Linked DNA regions of Schizosaccharomyces pombe. The protein of the gene in region 1 interacts with the protein of each later gene in a biochemical or structural test. Each region holds a gene or a part of one and is shown in the gene's direction. Other genes may lie near its edges.

Region 1 (7,529 bases):
TTTACTCTACCCTTCTGTCTTTTGTTTGTCCTGCTAATGTATCGAATGAAAACCAAGAGGTTTATAAATTTAGTCTTGAGGATTTATCTTCAACTTATGTTGCAAATTTAGAGGATTTGTTTCCCAGTGAAAAAAATCATATTTCCTACTCCCCGTGCCAGTTATCTTTACTATTATTGATGGATATTCTTCCAAATCCTTCTATAATCACAGTTACTGATGATGTGGCTACAATACTCCATGCTGCTTTTATACAATTTGATCATTATTCTCGCATAGTCCAAGAGCAATGCCAGCAGATTTTTCAGTATGTTGTACGAAAAGTTCTAGCTATGGAAGGAAGGTTAGATTATGACGACGCTTATTTTGATTTCAATGTAGAAAGCTCACTAATAACGGGCCTTCGTGGTAAAACCAAGAAGGAGGATGATTTGGTTAAATATCATAACATGATTTTGAAGACAATTGAGTTATTGAGTTCATCATATCCTGAGCTTAAACAAATATGGGGTGAGGTTGCTTTATCGTGGGCTACGACTTGTCCTTCTCGACGTTTGGCTTGTAATTCATTCCAGTTGTTTCGTTCTTTGCTTCCAGATTTTGATGCACGAATGCTTCTTGAGATTATTTCTCGTCTAGTTGGTACAATATCAGATGAAACGAGCTATTTACGTGATTATTCCGTTGAAATATTGCGAACTTTTAATTCCTATGTTTTAGTTATGAACTCCGATGATTTACTAAGTTATTCTCAAATATTATGGACAGCCATTGCGTGTTTGACTACAATCCATGAGGATGAATTTATTGAATCTGTGAAAATTGCATATGCTTACTTTCTGAGAGTGGAGGAGACGGACTCTGCTACCCAACAAATTATGGAGACATTTCCCCAAAACTGGGTTGGAGATTACCAAGGTCTTCAGATTTTAATATTAAAAGGTTTCCGTTCAACTAATTCTTTTGAAATTACCATGAATTTTTTCCTTTTGCTGATGGATTTCAAGGATAATGATTTGGTTGGCGTTGGTTATTTGAGGATACTATCCTGCTTGTTGGTGTCATTACCAGCGATGGTATATACATACGAGCATTCAGATCCTATTACTTTTGATTTAAGTGTTTTCTGTCATAAATTAGCTACTCTTGCTTCACAATTTAACGATGATGCATTGATTGAGCTTCTTGACACATATCTCAAACGTAAATTCAGGTCAATTAAGGATTTTTTAAAACATACGGTTTCATACCTATACTCCTATTATTTTGAAGATTACGAGCTAGAAATTGTTAGTACTCTTACGATGTTTCTATCAAATAATTTGACTTGGTTTAGAAAGTCTACGTTAGATGTGTTAAAAGAACTCTTTCCATTAATTGATTTCCAAAAACCTATATATTCCGAACATGGATTAGGTATTGTTTCACCGCTTCTTCGACTCTTACCTACTGGTTATGCAATGGAAGCGTTGTCTTTGCTAACCGACTCAGTGCTTCATGTATCTGCTCCCACAGATATGCAAACCTTAAAGTTATTAATGGTTGACCCTAAATTAAAAAATTCAGATGATCGTCTGGCTGGATTTTTTGAAATACCTGACGAGGATGGATGGTATGAACCAAACTCTGAATATGCAGCTGCTATAACTAAAAGCAACGTACATGCCGTATTTTATAGCTGTTCCACTACCGAGGCTTCTGTGAGTACGCCAGAGGTTAGATTTCATGCTGATGAAGTATCCAATTATCCGCGACACGTTCCTACTGACAGTCATGGTTCGCTTGACGAAAATTCACTAGGAGAGCTAGTTACAACTCTTCATAGCCTCGATGTCTTCTTCGCTGAAGATAGGGATGAAGAGTTAATTCAGCCTGATGTCGCCGTTGATCCAAAATTAGATATTACATCGGAAGATTATGACGATCGGATAGCTACGATTCTTTCAGGTAGCCTTAGACGGCAGAAACAAGGTCTTATGGCTTATGAAACAGAATCCTTCAGAGATTATTCACCGAACGAAGAAATTGATGCATCAGCAAAATTGCCGATGGACATGCCGCCGGTGAGAGTAAGAAAGTCGTCTTTTATCTCTAAATTAAAACCTCATTACTTTATGGATGCTGAATCTTATTATCCTTCTTTAAAGGCACTTGGTAATTCGGCGGAACATCGTTTATCTTTGGACGAAATACGAGGTGCAGCAGAATTGAAACAAAATAAAAATTGGAATTCCATGTTAGATCAATCTGTTTCTATGATTAATGAAGATTCAGTGGAAGACCATGAAACTCATGAAAATTATTATCATTTACGTACAATGTTTCAAGGAAGTGAAAGCAATGAATCTTTTACTGATACAACTCGATCCCGCGGTTGGCATTGAATTTGCCTATACTGGTTTAGTATACTTATACAAGCTTTTATGGTGTTCATGTGTGTAAGATGGAAAATTAGTCGGCAACGTTTATGGATGTACTATATAAAACTATTCGTTTGTTTTCATTATTTTATCATTTGCATTTTTTTGTTAATTTAAACTCGAAAATTCTTTGACCATTACAGCCTTTAATTTTAGAATTCAAAATCTTAGAGCGTGTCATGTTATTAAAAATCAAGCTATAACTATGGTAATTAGGTGTAGTGATATAAATCGGTTTCATATGTCCGTATTTAAACAAATGAAAACATAAAGAGTCAATCAATAACGAGTTATTTTACAACAATTCTTATAAGAAAAGAGGCATGAGATAATAATGTCAAGCATCGTGTAATAATGGTAATACATTGACGAACTTAAATAATAGATTATTTTTTCATTTGTACTGATCCATAAAGAAAGCATAGCGTGTTGTTAAATCTAATTAACGTGATAAATAATCAAATACGTAAACAATCGGTATACTGGTTCTGACTAGGGTGAGAGTAGTTTCAACGACAACACATTACTACTCAGTTTCAGAAAATCTTAGGAATCTAGAAAATGAGTTCTAAAGACATTAGTTCGAAGTCCCCGAGTGGTAATGATGCATTAAATGACAAAAAAGGGACAAAGACTTCAGAAACTAATGACAGAAACTCAACGAACAATACCAAAGAAAGGGATGAATTAGAGGATTTAGTAAGTTAAAGCCCTATTATTTTTCAAAATGAAAACTAACCAAATAGTCTGAAGAAGATTTACAATTAAAAAATGATTTGGAATTATTAGTTCAAGCTGTTCAAGATGCCACCCCTGAGTTGGTGGGTTCCAGTCTCACTCAGCTTAAAGAAATAATTCGTACTTCTACCTCCTCTATGACGGCCGTTCCAAAGCCTTTGAAGTTTCTTAGACCACATTATTTTACTCTCGTTAAAATCTATGATTCCTGGCCGCAAAGCCCTCAGAAGACTCAACTTGCTGATATCCTTTCAGTATTAGGAATGTCCTATAGTAATACAAGCAAACATGAATCATTAAAATATCGTCTTCAGGGCGTTACCACTGATCCTTCTTTATGGGGTCATGAGTATGTTCGCCATTTGGCTTCCGAAATAGAAGAAGAGTTTGCCAGTCGCCAGGAAGAGGAAGCGCCAACCGACGATCTTATGGAACTTGCATTGACCATTGTTCCATTCTTCCTTACTCATAATGCTGAGGCTGATGCTATTGATTTATTACAAGAATTGGGTGCTATTGAAAAAGTTGTACCCTTCGTAGAACTTGATAATGCTTCTCGCGTTTGTCTTTATATTACCAGTTGCGTTAATCTTTTGCCATTTCCTGAAGATGTCGCCATGTTAAGAACAGCGCATGCTATTTATCGGAAGTTTGACCAGCTTACACAAGCACTTAACGTTGCTATCCGCCTTGATGATATGTCTTTGATAAAAGAAGACTGTGAAGCTGCTACGGATCCCTTGTTGAAAAAGCAAATGTCTTACATGCTTGCTCGTCAGCAAATACCTATGGATATGGGAGACGAGGAGTTAAACGATGCTTTAAATAACACTCATTTATCTGATCACTTTCATTATCTAGGAAAGGAGTTGAACCTTATGGATCCTAAAGTTCCGGAAGATATCTTTAAAACACATTTAGAAGTGGCTAGGACTGGATTGGGTGCATCAGGAGTGTATTCCGCCAAACAAAATTTAGCTAACACTTTTGTCAATGCCCTTGTCAATGCCGGATACAGTAACGACAGATTAATTTTGGTCGATGACGAAAAAACGTCTTGGATTTATAAAAATAAAGAATCTGGTTTAATAAGTGCTACAGCTTCTATTGGCCTATTACAATTATGGAATGTTGACATGGGATTGTCTTTGTTGGATAAGTATTTATACTCTTCTGAGGAGAATACCAAGGCTGGTGCATTGTTGGGAATTGGTGTTACAAATGTTGCAGTAAGAAATGAAGCTGATCCAGCTATGGCAATTCTTTCTGAATACCTTGAAACTGGCTCCGTAAAGCTTCGTGCATCAGCGATTTTAGGTTTAGGACTTGCATACAGTGGAGCTAATCGCGAAGATTTACTCGACATGTTATCTCCAATTGTTACGGATACCGATTGCCCTATGCAATTATCCTGCTTAGCCGCATTATCTTTAGGTCTTATTTTTGTTGGTACTTGCAACGGCGATGTAGCTAGCACAATTTTACAAACTCTAATGGAGCGTGAAGAGTCTGCCCAAAATGATCAATGGGGCCGTTTTATGGCTCTTGGCCTTGCCCTTCTTTTTAATGGTAAACAAGACCTTGCGGATGCTACAGTCGAAACACTGAAAGCTATTGAGGGTAAAATTGCACGACAAGCTGAAATTTTGGTGGATATTTGCTCGTATGCTGGAACTGGCAACGTTCTTCACATCCAAAAATTGCTTCATATCTGTAGTGAACCTCCCAGTGATGATGCTAAGGAGAGTGAGACTACTATCCAGACATTTGCAGCACTTGGTGTTGCTACTATAGCTATGGGTGAAGATATTGGAGCAGAAATGGTTTTGAGACATTTCGATCACATGATGCATTATGGCGAACCCTCTATTCGAAAAGCTATACCACTTGCATTAGGATTGCTTTCCGCTTCCAATCCTCAAATGCGTATATTTGACACGCTTTCACGCTATAGTCACGATAATGATTTGGATGTTGCTTACAACGCAATCTTTGCAATGGGTCTTGTTGGTGCTGGTACTAGTAATGCGCGTTTGGCTCAATTACTCCGCCAACTAGCCAGTTATTATCACAAAGAATCCAACGCTCTATTCATGGTTCGTATCGCTCAAGGTTTACTTTACTTAGGAAAAGGAACAATGACGCTTAACCCTTATCATACAGAACGGCAGATTCTTGGTCAAACTGCTTTTGCTGGTCTTATGACTGTTGTATTAGCTATGCTAGATGCAAATACCTTTGTCCTTGATACCTCGCATTGGTTGCTTTATGCTATTACGTTAGCAATACGACCCCGAATGCTCATTACCCTTGGTGAGGACGGTCAATATTTACCAGTAAGCGTTCGAGTTGGTCAAGCAGTAGATGTGGTCGGTCAAGCTGGTCGTCCCAAGGTCATTACGGGTTGGGTCACACATACTACACCAGTTTTGTTGCATCACAATGAGCGAGCTGAACTAGCGACGGAAGCATATACACCTTTGACTTCGTTGGAAGGTATTGTTATTTTAAAAAAAAATACGGAGGACATTGAAATGACCGCTTAAATGACTTGAAGTTAAATGACTACAATTTTTATGTACTAATGCTTGATTTCCAGTTCTTTGCTATTAATAAAACAAACTGGATTGTTGAAATTCAGCGCCCGATACATTTATTTTTCTATTTCGATTATGTTAAATTCGTATTTTTTAGATTAGAAATGTTCTAGTATTGTTCTAAATTGAAGTAGCGGAAAGTATATATACATGATTGCAAATTTGTAATTAGGATTATAATTTCTGTTTCTTTTTTTTTGTATTTGTCGCGTTACCAAAAGGTAATAGAACGTCCACTGCAGAAACGTCTTGTTGGATAAAAATTGCCCGAACTAAGGAGCTACCATTTCTTAGTAAAAAAAATTTAGACCTGCGTTGGAGCTTAATGCAATTATCAAAGAATGAATTTTAATCATCTTCTGATAATCCGACAAAGGAGTTGACTGCTTTGCGACGCATCCCTTATGTCACGTTTCTACTACTGTTTCAATACCTAACCATTACATTAAAGGTAAAACTGCACATTAGATACTTCGCATTTAGGGAATAACGGTGAATAGCTTTATTTAATTTCAAATATTATCTTGAATTGTTATTATGTTTCATCATATGCAGTCCCAAAGTCTGCTCATCGTTAATTCATTTCCACAGGTAAGTTGTGCATTCATTTCGTTATGTGAAAAAATGGAATGACGCTCGTATTTGAATTGATAGAAATGTCATATATGACTATTAGGGGACTATTATGTGTTGATTGAACAATTTATTTTCAATGGGATCACTCACCCGTCATTTTGTCTACCGAATTGCATTTTGTAAGAATTTGTCAGTAAAAATTTGACCTATATATCGAGGTATTCGTTCTCTCGATTTGTGCTACTGAAATTGAGACATTAATCCGATTTCGCTTGCTTGCAAATAAAAGCCAGGAAAATATAATTGGTCTTTTGGAACTTGTATTTGAGGCACTCTTTAGCATTTTTTATCCTTCTATTTTTTAATTCATTAATCATTTAATAAGAAGATGCAGTTCTCTGTCCTTTGCAAATTTCTGTTGCTTGTCACAGCCGTAATGGCACAAACGGAGTATACTCCTGGTTTTACGACAGACGTTGCTACAACTGTAACGCCTACTCCTTTACCAAGTGCTAATGTTACGACTACTTCCTTTAGCAGTGCAAGTACTGAGACTTCCACCCACAGCGTAACAAGCACGAACATTACTTCGATTGTACCTCCCCCTTCGACTAGCCATAACTCTACCACTACCACTGTGCCACCTACAACTAGCATGAACACTACGACCACTGTACCTCCTACAACTAGCTTGAATACTACTACTACTACTGCACCACCAACAACTCATGTTAACAGCACTACTACTGTTGTACCACCAACAACTCATGTCAACACTACTACTGTTGTACCACCAACAACTCATGTCAACACTACTACTGTTGTACCGCCAACAACTCATGCCAACACTACTAGCTTCGTACCTACTACTACGGAGAGTTCTATACATCCTATCACTACTGGATTCTATAACACTACATTCACTACCGGCTACTTCAACACTTCAGTCACTTCGGTCGCAGTTCATAATAGTACTACTGTCTTCCCGACATCTGTTCCTATTGTAAACACTACTAGTTTCAACGTAACTACCATTCCTTCTTCTGCTGTGCATTATGCTTCTCCCAGCGGACTTCTCGCTTTGGTTGTTATGCTAATTTCTGCCTTCGCCTTTTTGGCTTAATTTATCCCATTTAATATAGGCTTACTATTTATAATATTTACAACCTAGCAGAAGTATGCAATTAATTTCTTTCGC
Region 2 (5,463 bases), on another chromosome or scaffold:
AAGCCTCTGCTATTGCCTTGGTTTTTTCGGCTGCTCCATTTTGCAGGATAGCTGGATATCGTATACTAGCCCACATGTATGCTACTATTAATTTGTGAAGCTGCTCTAGTTGTTGTAACTCGGTTTCAGTGGTTGGAATTCCGCGTTCTAATATTTCCAAAGGTACAGACTTCAAATCATATATTTGCAGACGTTTTCCTTGAGCGATAACACATCCGATTTCCCGAATAAATAGTGGTGCGTATTTAGAATGCTTTAACACTGGGCACCCTAACAATTTGATTTTATCTTTAATGGTTAAACCTTTTATGTGGTCTAAATATTCAATAATGAATGTGCTTAGTGCTCCTTCCGACACAACAAATGGAGTAGTCGTTTTCGCTAACTTAAAGTAACGATCGAAAATTAGCTTTTGAGGAATGTCATCAGAGAATAGTGATAAATATCTAAAGAATAAATCGTCCTTAGCTCCAATACAAGCATTGAATAAGTTCTTTGTAGGAAGATTCATGGCGCGATTTAATTTCGCAAAATCTTTTTGATATAGGGTAGTTACTATTCCAGCACTTTGCTTAGATCCATTGGGATTATGTCGGCCAGCTCTTCCTGCTATCTGCTTAATTTGTGGTACAGGGATGTCTATAGTGGAAACTCCACTAAACTTTTTTAAATCGCTGAAAACAATACGCTTTACGCCTAAGTTGAGACCCATACCAATGGCATCGGAGGCCAGCAAAATATTTTCATCAGAACTCTTTGAATTAAATAAGCTTGCTTGTTGATTACGGACTTCAGGAGGCAGTGAACCATAAATAACGGCAGATTTTTTTCCTAATGCTTGATCAATTTTAGACTTCAAAGTAAAAATGTTTTTCCTTGAAAAAGCCACAACACAATCCCCGTCTTTGAGTTCACTTAACTTTCCATTTAAGCTCTTTTCTGCAACGTGGAGAGGATTTAACCGTTCGTATCTGTAAACAGTAAAATCATCTTGGGTCATTTTAGCAATTGAACGCACTAATTTAACAACACTTTCTTCTCCGCATAAATGAATTTCCTTAGCCTGCAAGCCAAGCAAGCATTGAGTCCAAGCATATCCCCGTGAAGGATCAGCCATCATTTGGATTTCATCAATGACTGCAACATCAAAAGTAGTAGATAAGTTGCACATTTCTACAGTACATGAAACAACCTGAGGGAAAGGATAATCATTTCTAATCTCTTCCCCTGTGTAAAGATTACAAGCTATTCCGTTTGCTTGCAAGCGATTATAGATTTCGTGAGCCAAAAGTCTTAAAGGGCCAGCAAATATACCTTTCTTGCAAGTCTTAAGTCTTTCTAAAGCCCTATGTGTTTTCCCGCTATTCGTTGGGCCGACATGCATAATGATATGCCTTCTGAGTTTTCTCGCTCCTGGATACCACTCAATTGGATTTTTTAAATCTGTTAATTGCTTTTGTAAGTCAGGTCTTGTTTCTTCTATTCGCTCTTGATATCGTACATACTTCCGATACTCTGAGAGTAAACAATCATGGATCTTTTTTATTTTCTGAAGGTCAAAAGTAGAAGAAGATTTTGAAAGAGCCAATGATTTATCAGAGTTTTTTAAGTCAGAAAATCCTAAATCTGTAAGGATATTCTTTTTTAACTCATAATAGTATACATTCTGAAAGACACTGGCATCCTTGCAGACATTGACAAAGTCTTGGGCTAAGTATGCTTGTTTTGACGAAAGTTCTTTGGAAGCAAATAAATATGCAGTGAAGCGATTGAGGGCAGCAGCCCACAAGGTATTTCCTGGGAATTTCCTTTGTTGAAAAACATCCTTTGATAAAGTGTGAATTCTAGCAGACTTGCTAAAAAACGGTACACAAAACGTTACGCCATGAATCAAAGTTTCCAAAAACATTCCTGGCGAGTTAAAATCTTTCTAGCAATGCTCTATTGCTGGCCGCCCTGTAACCAGAGCAAAACTTAATCCAAGTATTTAAAGTAATTTAAAAACAAGAAATGTTTATATAGAAAATTAAATACTTCTCAAACGTCTGAAGGTCCCTGGCTTTATCGCTTTTAAAAATATTACCTTCTATTAATTAAAAAAGGAAAAAAAAAGTAATAATTTGACTACGAGATTCAGTCAAGTTGCCTGCTGAGGCCTCTAATATGTTATACCAACAGCTCTGCATGTATCTCCAAAAAATTAGTATCTCAGCAGTACCCTTTAAATTCCAGTTTTCCGCTTCAGTAAATATATAAAATTTTTTAAAAAGCGTTTATTACCTACACTTGTATTATAACAATTTCACGCATTTGGTGTTGGCTTTCGATTATTTACGCGTGCTGTAAGAAATTAGAGAACCTGTGGATTCGAACAGGAAATGAATTGTGTATCACCATGTTTTTCGATGTTTCATTTTGTGATGCGTTACATATCGTTATCCGAGAATGACTAGAGAAGGTGAGTAGTAATACCTTGTCTAGTTCACTTTGCAACACATCTTCTGTAATCTACCAAGCGTTCTTTCAAATTTCTTCGCATTAAGTTTTAAATTATAGGTCTTCAAGATGGTGTTAGAAGCAACGATGATTCTGTAAGAATTTATTTTTGTTAAATTATTGCTCTAACATGGCAGAATTGATAATTCAGAATGGATGATTAATGGTGATTATATACCTACGAGGTTTGAAGCTCAAAAGGATACTGTACATATGATTTTCAATCAAAAGATCAATGATAATCCGGAGAACATGTGTGGTTTAATGACAATTGGTGATAATAGGTATATGATTAATATTACGGCTTGAACGGTACTTTATGTTCAGCTATAAAATACTTTACAGAAATTCTAATCATATTAGTCCCCAAGTTCTTTCTACATTAACCAGAGATTATGGTAAATTCTTATCTGCAATGCACGACCTGCCTGTCCGAGGAAACGCAAAGTTTGGCGATGGTATACAGATTGCGCAGTTAGCCTTAAAGCATAGAGAAAACAAAATTCAACGTCAAAGAATTGTTGCATTTGTAGGTTCTCCTATTGTTGAGGACGAGAAAAATCTTATTCGTCTAGCCAAGCGTATGAAAAAGAATAATGTTGCTATTGATATCATTCACATTGGTGAGCTTCAGAATGAATCAGCTTTGCAGCATTTCATTGACGCTGCTAATTCAAGTGACAGTTGGTAAGTCTACGGATTTTTCGGACATTTTTGGCTTCTTTTTTTTACTAGTATTAACAATTTTAGTCATCTTGTCAGCATTCCACCTAGCCCGCAGTTACTTTCAGATTTGGTAAATCAATCCCCTATTGGACAAGGTGTAGTTGCTTCTCAAAACCAATTTGAGTATGGAGTCGATCCTAATCTTGACGTTGAATTGGCGTTAGCCTTGGAACTTTCAATGGCGGAGGAACGAGCACGTCAAGAAGTTGCTGCTCAAAAATCATCTGAAGAAACTGAGGATAAAAAAATGCAAGAATGATCCGAAGATGTCTACGATTCCTTATCCTTATGAAAGACAAATTAACGTTCTTGTACTTTACTAGCCATGCTTTATGCAGCAACGTTTAAATTAGATTGAATCCTAAAAATCATGATTTTTCAAAATATATCCAAAATAATAAATTGGCAGCATTTTGTTTCATTTTCGTAATTAGCATTGTAGAAAAGGTTAGCGCATTCTAGAAACACATTACTAGAAGGAAAGGTATTAATCTACAATCAAGGTAGCGTTAGTGGCATCCAATAATAAAAACGCCCCTAATATACGTGTCTGACTAGCTGTTTACCTTTCTTAATTTCAACATATACATAAACCAAAACAATTGTTTTCTTCAACTATCTATTATGACCAATAAAATGCAGACCCTTTACCCAAAATTTACTTGATCGCAATATAAAAACACACTTATTTGATCGTCATAAAAGACAATCCATTCCTTGTGTTTTCAACAGCAGATATATATTTCATATTTTCTTCATCAGTCCATTTTACTGATAGCTCATCCCATTTTTTGGTCTGGTATTCTTTTCTAAATTGTTGGCGAATAGCGTTTAATTTTGACATTTCGATGGGATTTCCAGTACCAGTATACAAAAGCAATAGAGAACCTTTTGGTAAGGAGTCGTATAAAAGACGAATTCTTCGATTAAAACGCTCTAAAGCAGAAGAATAGCTAGTTACTTGGTCCTCTTCTACCGAATCATTCTCTGTATCAGTATCAGAGTTGTTTTCTTGTTTTGTATTTCGATTAGCGTTCCACATAGCCGCATGCTCCAATTCGCGAAAACGACCCCACACGAAGTTATGCATGTCTGAAAGACTTACAACAGCGCTTACGACTTCATCATCATTCGCACAAGAAACGCTTTTATGAGCCGCTTTGCCAATGCACGACTCCGGATTACCATAGTCGGCAATTGCACCAATCAATGGAGTTGGCTGCTGTCGTGACAATCTATGAAAGATTGACTCAAAGTCTTGGTTAAACAACCCAAAGGCAGGTCCATTCTTAACTTTCAACTTTAGAAGATCCACACAAGCAAGAGCATCTTCTGCAGAATCGTGCCCCAGAGCTCCCGCTTTTTGTATCTCACGCCTCAACCACTTCGTTGCAAGCCATTTAAGCGATGGTTTTGAAGGGGGACCACGAGTGTGATTATAAATGTTTGCCGTATCAATGATATGAGGGTGTGTAAATTTTAAGCAATTAAGATCAGAATTTAGACTATGGCCTAAAAGAACGGTATTGTTGTCCACAGTCTTTTTTAAGTAAGATTGAACATCGGAAAGAACAGTAGTAACATTTCTCAGTTTTTCTTCAGTTATGCCAGAATACTGGGTAACATAATCAGTGACGGGTGATTCTGGTTTTACAAATTCGTCGTAAATAACCTCACTTTTCATGTCTACAATAGTTACTCTGGCTATTTCTAACCCGTTCTCAGTCCGCACCATTTCGCAATCAATAGCAAGAATTTTGGGATTTATAGGAGGAGAATGAAAATCTCCTGCAGAAGCAACCCATCCTGAAGGCTGAGTAACCTCTTCACCCTTCATGACAGTAGGATGTAATGGGTATTCGTCTTCAATGAAAGATTCATAACTCATTAAGTAATCAGATGGTTTGGAAAAACTAGCCATAGCACGTGTTTCTTTATCTCTTTTCTTCTTTTGTTCATTACTCAGAGGAGATTGCAAAAAGGCATTCACCGGAGAAAAGACACGAAATCGATCTCCAGGAGATCTCGTAGGCCATGCGCGATCAAACACTTCACAAAAATCAGGTAATTGAATGGGGCCATTTTCATTTAGCAAATTCGGCAGCAAAAATGAGTGCTTGTTGCCGCGCACGGGTTGAAACCCAAATTGACTAGGCTCCAATCCAGGAACTAAAAGTATCACTGCTCTATGAATCATTTGTTTATTTCTCACTAGAACCCATGAAGGAGCCTGTCCATCAG
Region 3 (7,103 bases), 1.9 Mb from region 1:
AGTCGGAAGTGGGAAACCGAGAAAAACACTGTGTGTACTAACTCGCATACTAAATGCACACACAAACGCTAGCTCAGCCGGGGTGTCATATACAATAGTAAAAACACACTACATTTTTTATTTTTTCATTTTAATTCTCGAATACTCTTCTACTCACTTTAAGCGACCTTTCGCATCATATTCTCCGCCTTTAAACCCCAAAAATACATGTGAGAAGACAGTTGTACGCCAGCTCACAACAACATGATGCTGATCGCACATCTTTGGACTGTAAAAAGAGGCACCGATGCAGTCAGTAGCGGAGCAAAATGGAGAACCATGGTGATGATGACTTTTTTTCAACGAGAGATTTAAGGCGATAGGTGGGGTCGAAATATAGCATGTATAAAGATGTGCAGGGCAGGGATGAAAAATTAAACTGACGGTTGGGAATGAATGAGAAAAAAAAGAAATTAGTTTAAATTATAATAAAATAGAATAAAATAAATGGAATTCAATAATAGAGAACTAGAGAAGTAAAAATAAAAAGAGAAAAAATAATAAAACAAAATTTACACATGATAGAGATATAAATATATTTCACTATTAGAGAATGGTTTTACTTTTATATATCTATTTATTTATTTATTTATTTTTTTTCGATTTCTAACGACAAAGTGCGAATCGTTTATTGATTATACATTGTATTTATGATAGTAGGTGAGCAAACAACCGGAACTCGAAAAATATTTGCGAAAACTTGCGTACAAAAAGATGAGTGAATTCTAATAAAATGAAATGACTGTGGCATGATTGATGTTTTGTTTCCCATGTCTCAATGAGTAGCATCAAAATTAATTTTACCTGTTGTCCTTGTGCGACACCCATAGCGGGAGAACTAGCTAAAAAAGAAGTGAAATCTCGTTGTTGTTTCACACATTGTCTTACAATTCCATGGAATGACTTGATTCTGAAGACGGTCGGAAGCAACTTTCTGCCTCGACCGGTAACGTAGAATTCACGTACCATTTACTTATACTCATGTAACCTTGTTGTAAGTGTTTGGGATCTTTGAATCTAACGTTCGCGGGATCTAGCACGTGTTACTCTGTAGTTTGCCACGAAGCAATAACTCCTCAGCAAAGAGCTAGGATGCAACACTCTGCCAACAGTAACAATCACCAACTGTAGTAGCTACTGGATCCGATCCCACCTGTGCTTCCTCTGTAGGTATGCAAAACATCCCACATAGGTACATCTATCCCACATTTTCACGTACCCATCCCACATGTATCCATCCTACATACATCCATGTGCTTTGCTATATGCAGAATACAATAGTGCTAAACGCATCAGAATCTTTTGGAAAAATTTTAACCTACTACTGGAATTCATTCATTTCATGAAATCGATTATTAAAGGACGTATGAATCTTGTTTACAAACCCATGAGGGTCTTTTTTGCATACTATGTTTTCAATGATTTTCCTTTGATCAGATAACGAACGCTGCGTGTTTCGGTTATGTGCTAGAAAAATCGCATTCCAACAAACGAGTAAAAATAGAATAAGATGGTTTAGTAATTAAACTCGAGAACGAAAAAAAAAATAAAATAAAAAAATAGAAAATATCGTATGTACGGCTTCTCAAGAAAAATTTTTTTCAAGTTCTTTTTCTTTTTTTGGCTCTAAGTAGGTAAGGCGTATTCAAATCAAAACTCCTTTCCCACTTTTTCCCATGTCTTCCTTGTTTTTCTTTGTTTTTATTTTTCTGTCAAGTTTCTCCTTTTTGGGACATTTATTTACTACTTTTTCCAGAATCTTGTATAAACACCCTATTCCATATGTATCTAGTACTATCCAGTGCAGCGGGACAAAGAGAAGCGTAGAGAAAAAAAAGCCAGTTATGCAAAAATCAGGATATTCGCTAAAGATATCAAGATGCAGATCATTCTCGTTTGTATTTTTTTTTCAAGGATGAAAAATTAGAAAAATAAAAAAAAGTAGAGAAAGAAAATGCAAGAACACTTCTTTGGTCATTTTTATTCAACATCGATTTTCTCATTAAAAATTTCTAATCCTTTCATGCTTTGTTGAACCAGTGAGGCATTTTTCAGTCGCATAAAAATATCAACAACAGGGGCGAGACACGGTTAAGGCAAGGGTTAACAGCGGTTCAGGTCCTTTTGCACGGATTCATGTCCGTAGCGACATTAGGAGTAAACCTTAGGAATATAAAAGTCAACCAAAAAATAGTACGTTCTCTTTCTTTCTTTTTTTTTTTTTTTTTCTCTAAATAATCAAATCCATAATGTTCAATCCTCCCACACCAATGTAATCCCGAATGTACGCATATCCATGTTTCTCTTAATAAACATTCACCATGGAAAAGAAAACACGTTACATATGGCGTGCCATTTCTTTCTTCAATGTAAAATTATACAAAGTTATACTTTTACGCTACCCCCAGCCTTGGCTTGCCCTCCCCCACCCTTCTTTCCATGACTTGTTTCACATCTATAGCGAACCTTTTCCCTTGGTCTTGCTTTGGTTGTCACCGTATTTCTGCGCTGTAACTTTGTCACGTGTCACCGTTCATTATTCTTGCATGTTCAAGCAACCGGTTTTTATCAAAATCCTATACATATATATTGTTACAATGAGCGCCACACGGCCCACATCCTACCCGCCTGGATAGAAACAATGTTACCAAGGAAGAACTTTGGTGTTGTCTTTTTCATGGGCCTTTTAGCTTAGTTGTTCGTATGCCTTGAAATTCTGTTCCTCATACAGTGCTACAAAAGTCTCGCTAATTTAACGTTGAAATTTCTACACTTTCTTTCATCTACCACGTAGAAATTTACGACTGAATAACTTTTTTTTGCGAGAAAACCAAAAAAAAAACAAAAAGGCCCCTTTATATTTATGTATAGATTTTCTTTTATTTATTTTTTAAAATTCTGGTATTCATACTATTCATCGAATATTTTCAAGTTGGTGTTTAAAAGTCAGTAAGGAGGTTGTTTGCTTATACTGTCAACGTTTCTTTGGTACAAAAGTGAGTTTTCGGTTATTGTCTCAAAATCAAAATTTTTTAAAAAGCAATAAAATAATTCATCGTTAAAAAACTACTTTTATATTCTTTCTTTTCAGTTTTGAATTCTGATTTTGATTCCATTTTTGTTTTTCTTTTGCTGAAGACTAGTAAAGCTTCTAAGAAAAATATTTTAACGCATAACGTACTTCTGGTCTCGGGAGGCTTTTTCGCCATATTTTTCCGCTTTTGGTTTTCTTCCTATTAGTTGTTTTGTTTGAGTATTTGCTTCCGAGTGTCGGTCTTACGTCTTAGTGTGCTCGCAAATAACTTTCCCTTTTACTTTTTGTTAGCGAGTTTACCGTTTATTTATTCACCTATCAACTCGCCTAGTCTTGCATTTTTAACGATTTCCTTAGAAGTTTGTACTAAATGTCTGGCCCTCACCATTGTTCCGCTGACTGTGATGAACATCCGTTTGAGTCTGGTCCAAATGATACCTTGTATTCTTGCATCCGAAAGGAATCAATTGTTACGCTGAATGAAGCTGTACCAGATTCCGGAAAACTCGTCTTCAAACCTTGGGACCTTCGTTATGATGACACTGATATCGTAGAAAGTGATGCTGATGACCAACTCTTGTTTCAGGTACCGTTTGCAGGTGCGGCAACACTAAAATCAATTTTGGTTCGCATTTTTCCTAATGAAACCGCTCCACACTCCTTTTCACTTTTTCCCAATCGTACCGACTTGGATTTTGACACAATCGGTGATGTCCAAGCCACTGAAACATTTGAATTTCCCTTGACTTTTGAAGGAAGCCATATCTTCGAGTTTCCTGTTAAGACTCGTCTCTATCAAAACCTTCAAAATCTCAATATCTTCTTCACCAAAAGCGACGGTTCTGATGATCCTACACAAATCGCCTACATTGGTCTTCGTGGTTCTTTTGTTCCCTTCAAGGGTGATCCTGTTGTAACCATTTACGAAGCTACTCCTAGACCTTCAGATCATCCCAAAGTTAACCAAGAGGAGGTTTTCCGTTCTTACTATTAAGCTCCCGGGAAGTTTAGATTCCTTCCTTTTGGTTTTTTCCTCTCTTATTTGAGATTTTTGTTTTACCCAAAGCAAAATAAAAAATATATATGAAACGATACGAATACGCTTTGATTTGGATTTTTTTTAATGACGGTTATTTAAAGAATATCTAACGCCCTTTTTCTTTTCTTTTTCTTAAATGGCTAAGTCTCCATACTTTTTTAGCTTATGTTTAAATGTTGGTTTGTATTTATTGGCCGATTAATTATGTGTTTATGTAAAAGAAATGAGCCTTGATTAGGTTCTTTTTTTCTTCCTCTATTATTTTTTGTTTTTCTCTTGAATTTAAATGTTGCTTGCAGTAGATTAAATTATAAATTAGCTGTGCTATAAATGTGAAAATATTTAACAATGTGACCTCAATATAATTTATGCTTTGCCTCTGGGATGTCGTTTGCGTTTTCTATCAGATGGTAAGTCAAAGTCTCGTCGTAGTTTAGTTCGCAAACTGGGTATTGCATAGTTTATCACTTTGACTGATCGTCTTAGTTTTTCACGTCCATTAATCCTTGGTTGAGATTCTTCAAAATCACATGGGGAGCTGTCTCCGGTTGCTTGTCCTTTAAGGTCAGTTATCTGTTCAGCACTTTTACAAGGAATACAAACACAAACATTTGATGTTTTAGCCTTTTCTTCTTCAGTTTCGCCCTCGTTGATGGATTCAAATTCGTTTTCTTTTAATTCCTTTGAAAAGATGGTGATATTTTTTTGCGGCAATGAGTAATTCACCTCATCTTGTGGTATTTTGTTTACGTGGGCATTGGTTTTATCTTTTAATATACATTTTCCAGGTTTTTCAGATAGAGCCGGAGGACCATGGACTTTTTTTTGGAAATCTTGAAAACAATACAATGGTTGCCCTGTTTCGAGACTTTTAAGTTCATCATTAAATGATACATACTCCAAGCGTTTATTATGCAAAATCTGATAATCTTCTTTCGAATCTTTATTTTCACAGGTTGTAAATTGACTTTTTACATTCGCTTCGAGGAAATCTGATGAACACTTTTTCTCTATAATCTTCAGTAAACTTTGCACTTGTGAAATCTTTTTGTGAATGGTTTGTATCTCAGGAAAGAAGTTTTTTAACAAGTCCTCAGTTTGAGATTGATTGCGAAATCGAGCTTCAAGTTTAACCAAATAACTTTTCAAAGTGAAATTTTCTTGTATCAAATCTTGAATTTCGTTTTCAGATTCTCTAATTTTTATAGAAAGCTGAGTATTTATTCTGAAAGTTAGATGTTTATTATTTACCACAAGGGATTCAAAAATGGTGTACTTTGACCTTACTTTATAATTTCACGATTTTGTTTTAAAAATTTCTTTTTCAACGACTCCATCGGCAATTTATCTTCATTGTTTATATTTGAATTTATAAATTGAAAGTTCATAGCTTTTTTAAAGCTTTTTTTGCGAAAAGCAATTAAGGACTTGCTGATGTAAACAAACCTGTTAAGTGTAAGGTAAACAATCGCAAACTAAAGTCTTGTCATATTGAGAAAGGCTCTTTTCTTTAAGGAACTTGCCAAATCAATGTAAATTAGTATATAATAAATTAGATGAAAGATGGTTGTACGACTTAATGCAGCCCATATCCTGAATAAAAATTGATAAAAAGAACATAAAATTAATTACTGCTTCGCTATCCGACAATATCCATCCAACTCCTGAGAGATTAAATGTAATATTCGACGAATTCTTTCATCAAACTTTTGGAAATAATGATGCAATTGTGAGAAATTAGATTCGTCCGTGGTCTTTCCTATTGCTATAAAGTTAGAGGACAAGGGAGCTTTATACTTTTTGAAAACACCTCTAAAGAATTCATAAGCTTCCAGTATACTGGTGAGATAACCATGAAAAACAGTACAAAAACTGAGATCGTAAGTCTAAGTAAGTAGTCGGTTAGTATGCATCATTAAGAAAACGTGTTAAACATTGGCATATTATATCAACGAACGTTGAATTTAACTACATGCAAAGGTATAACATTATCAACCCTAAAAATTGCAGATACGTCTTTTGGATAAGATCCCTTACATAGTAGTCCGCTTAAAATTTATGTAAAACTTACTATAGGTAAAAGCTCCATGTTCTTGCTAGCATGGTCTTTTCCAAAAGGGTATCTTATGCTGTCTAATATTGCTCGAAAATGTGAAATGCTCCTGGTCGTAACGTAAAACCCTTTTTCAGTCAACAAATAATTCCGAAACTCAGCCGTAGTAATATAAATGGAACGAGCAACGTCTTTAGCATCGCCATCGGATTCCTGAATTAGACATTGTATGTTTCTAGCATGAGATAACAAAGCGACCGTTCTAACTGTTAGCCATAAAATGGTAAAGAGTTTCTTATAAAAATGTAATCGTATTAAAATGGGTAGGTTAATACCAGATACGAACCTTTTTTTAAAATTGTTTCTAACCATAAACGAGTCAAGTGCTTTTCGGTCAAGTGAGACTCCATGGAAGCGAATTTTATCATTTTTAGAAAATCTAATAAAGTTAGTAAGTAAACTCATAAATCATTCACTTTAAATTTTAAAACTTCAGGCGACAAACACAGAAATTCTTATAATTACACACACATTTCAAAAAACTTGGCTATATATGCTTCATTTTTATTAATTCTATCCTCAATGGAGCTATTAGATATCATATTTCGAAGCCGCTCTTGTCAATTTTAGACTCAAATCGTTTAACACACATGCACATGCATGTGCACGCACTAAGAAGTTAGAAAAGGGAGATCTATTTAACACCTGATAAAACTTGGGTTAAAACTTCAAGTCTACAGTCTTGATACGAAATTATATCTACGCCATAGAGAAAAAAAAATAAAAATTACATACTATGGTTTGACAGATTTTAGCGTTAGTTTTTGAAGAGGTCGTATACAGCATATTAGGTATACGCTGCAGTAATTATAACCCAATAAGTCAAAATTTTTTCTTTATTTGTTGCTGATTGTTTCCTTTACTAAAAAGGGATTTAC

Evidence for each region.
Region 2: the proteins of mts4 (region 1) and rpn10 form a complex in vitro, tested with the Schizosaccharomyces pombe proteins (one study listed by BioGRID).
Region 3: the proteins of mts4 (region 1) and txc1 form a complex in vitro, tested with the Schizosaccharomyces pombe proteins (one study listed by BioGRID).

The regions. Positions count from the first base shown.
Region 1 is NC_003423.3:2,849,505-2,857,033, reverse strand, and holds mts4 (19S proteasome regulatory subunit Rpn1/Mts4), read left to right. Parts: upstream 1-2,931; 5' UTR 2,932-2,981; coding exon 2,982-3,119; exon of another isoform or gene 3,120-3,166; coding exon 3,167-5,704; 3' UTR 5,705-5,913; downstream 5,914-7,529. Other genes in the region: morphogenesis protein Mor2, read left to right, coding at 1-2,384; SPOM_SPBP19A11.02C (uncharacterized protein), read left to right, coding at 6,720-7,454. UniProt on the Schizosaccharomyces pombe protein: Acts as a regulatory subunit of the 26 proteasome which is involved in the ATP-dependent degradation of ubiquitinated proteins.
Region 2 is NC_003424.3:4,555,739-4,561,201, reverse strand, and holds rpn10 (19S proteasome regulatory subunit Rpn10), read left to right. Parts: upstream 1-2,505; 5' UTR 2,506-2,565; coding exon 2,566-2,591; intron 2,592-2,633; coding exon 2,634-2,780; intron 2,781-2,837; exon of another isoform or gene 2,838-2,859; coding exon 2,860-3,183; exon of another isoform or gene 3,184-3,246; coding exon 3,247-3,481; 3' UTR 3,482-3,651; downstream 3,652-5,463. Other genes in the region: ATP-dependent RNA helicase Rpm2, read right to left, coding at 1-1,909; rex1 (putative ribonuclease H70), read right to left, coding at 3,908-5,463. UniProt on the Schizosaccharomyces pombe protein: Protects ubiquitin chains against dissambly by deubiquitinating enzymes thereby promoting protein degradation.
Region 3 is NC_003423.3:963,268-970,370, forward strand, and holds txc1 (poteasome interacting protein Txc1), read left to right. Parts: upstream 1-3,012; 5' UTR 3,013-3,443; coding exon 3,444-4,067; 3' UTR 4,068-4,478; coding exon of another isoform or gene 4,479-5,337; 3' UTR 5,338-5,399; coding exon of another isoform or gene 5,400-5,500; 3' UTR 5,501-5,624; downstream 5,625-7,103. Other genes in the region: SPOM_SPBP35G2.17 (uncharacterized protein), read right to left, coding at 688-1,008; shugoshin Sgo1, read right to left, coding at 4,479-5,337, 5,400-5,500; SPOM_SPBP35G2.04C (uncharacterized protein), read right to left, coding at 5,741-5,998, 6,184-6,604, 6,697-6,767.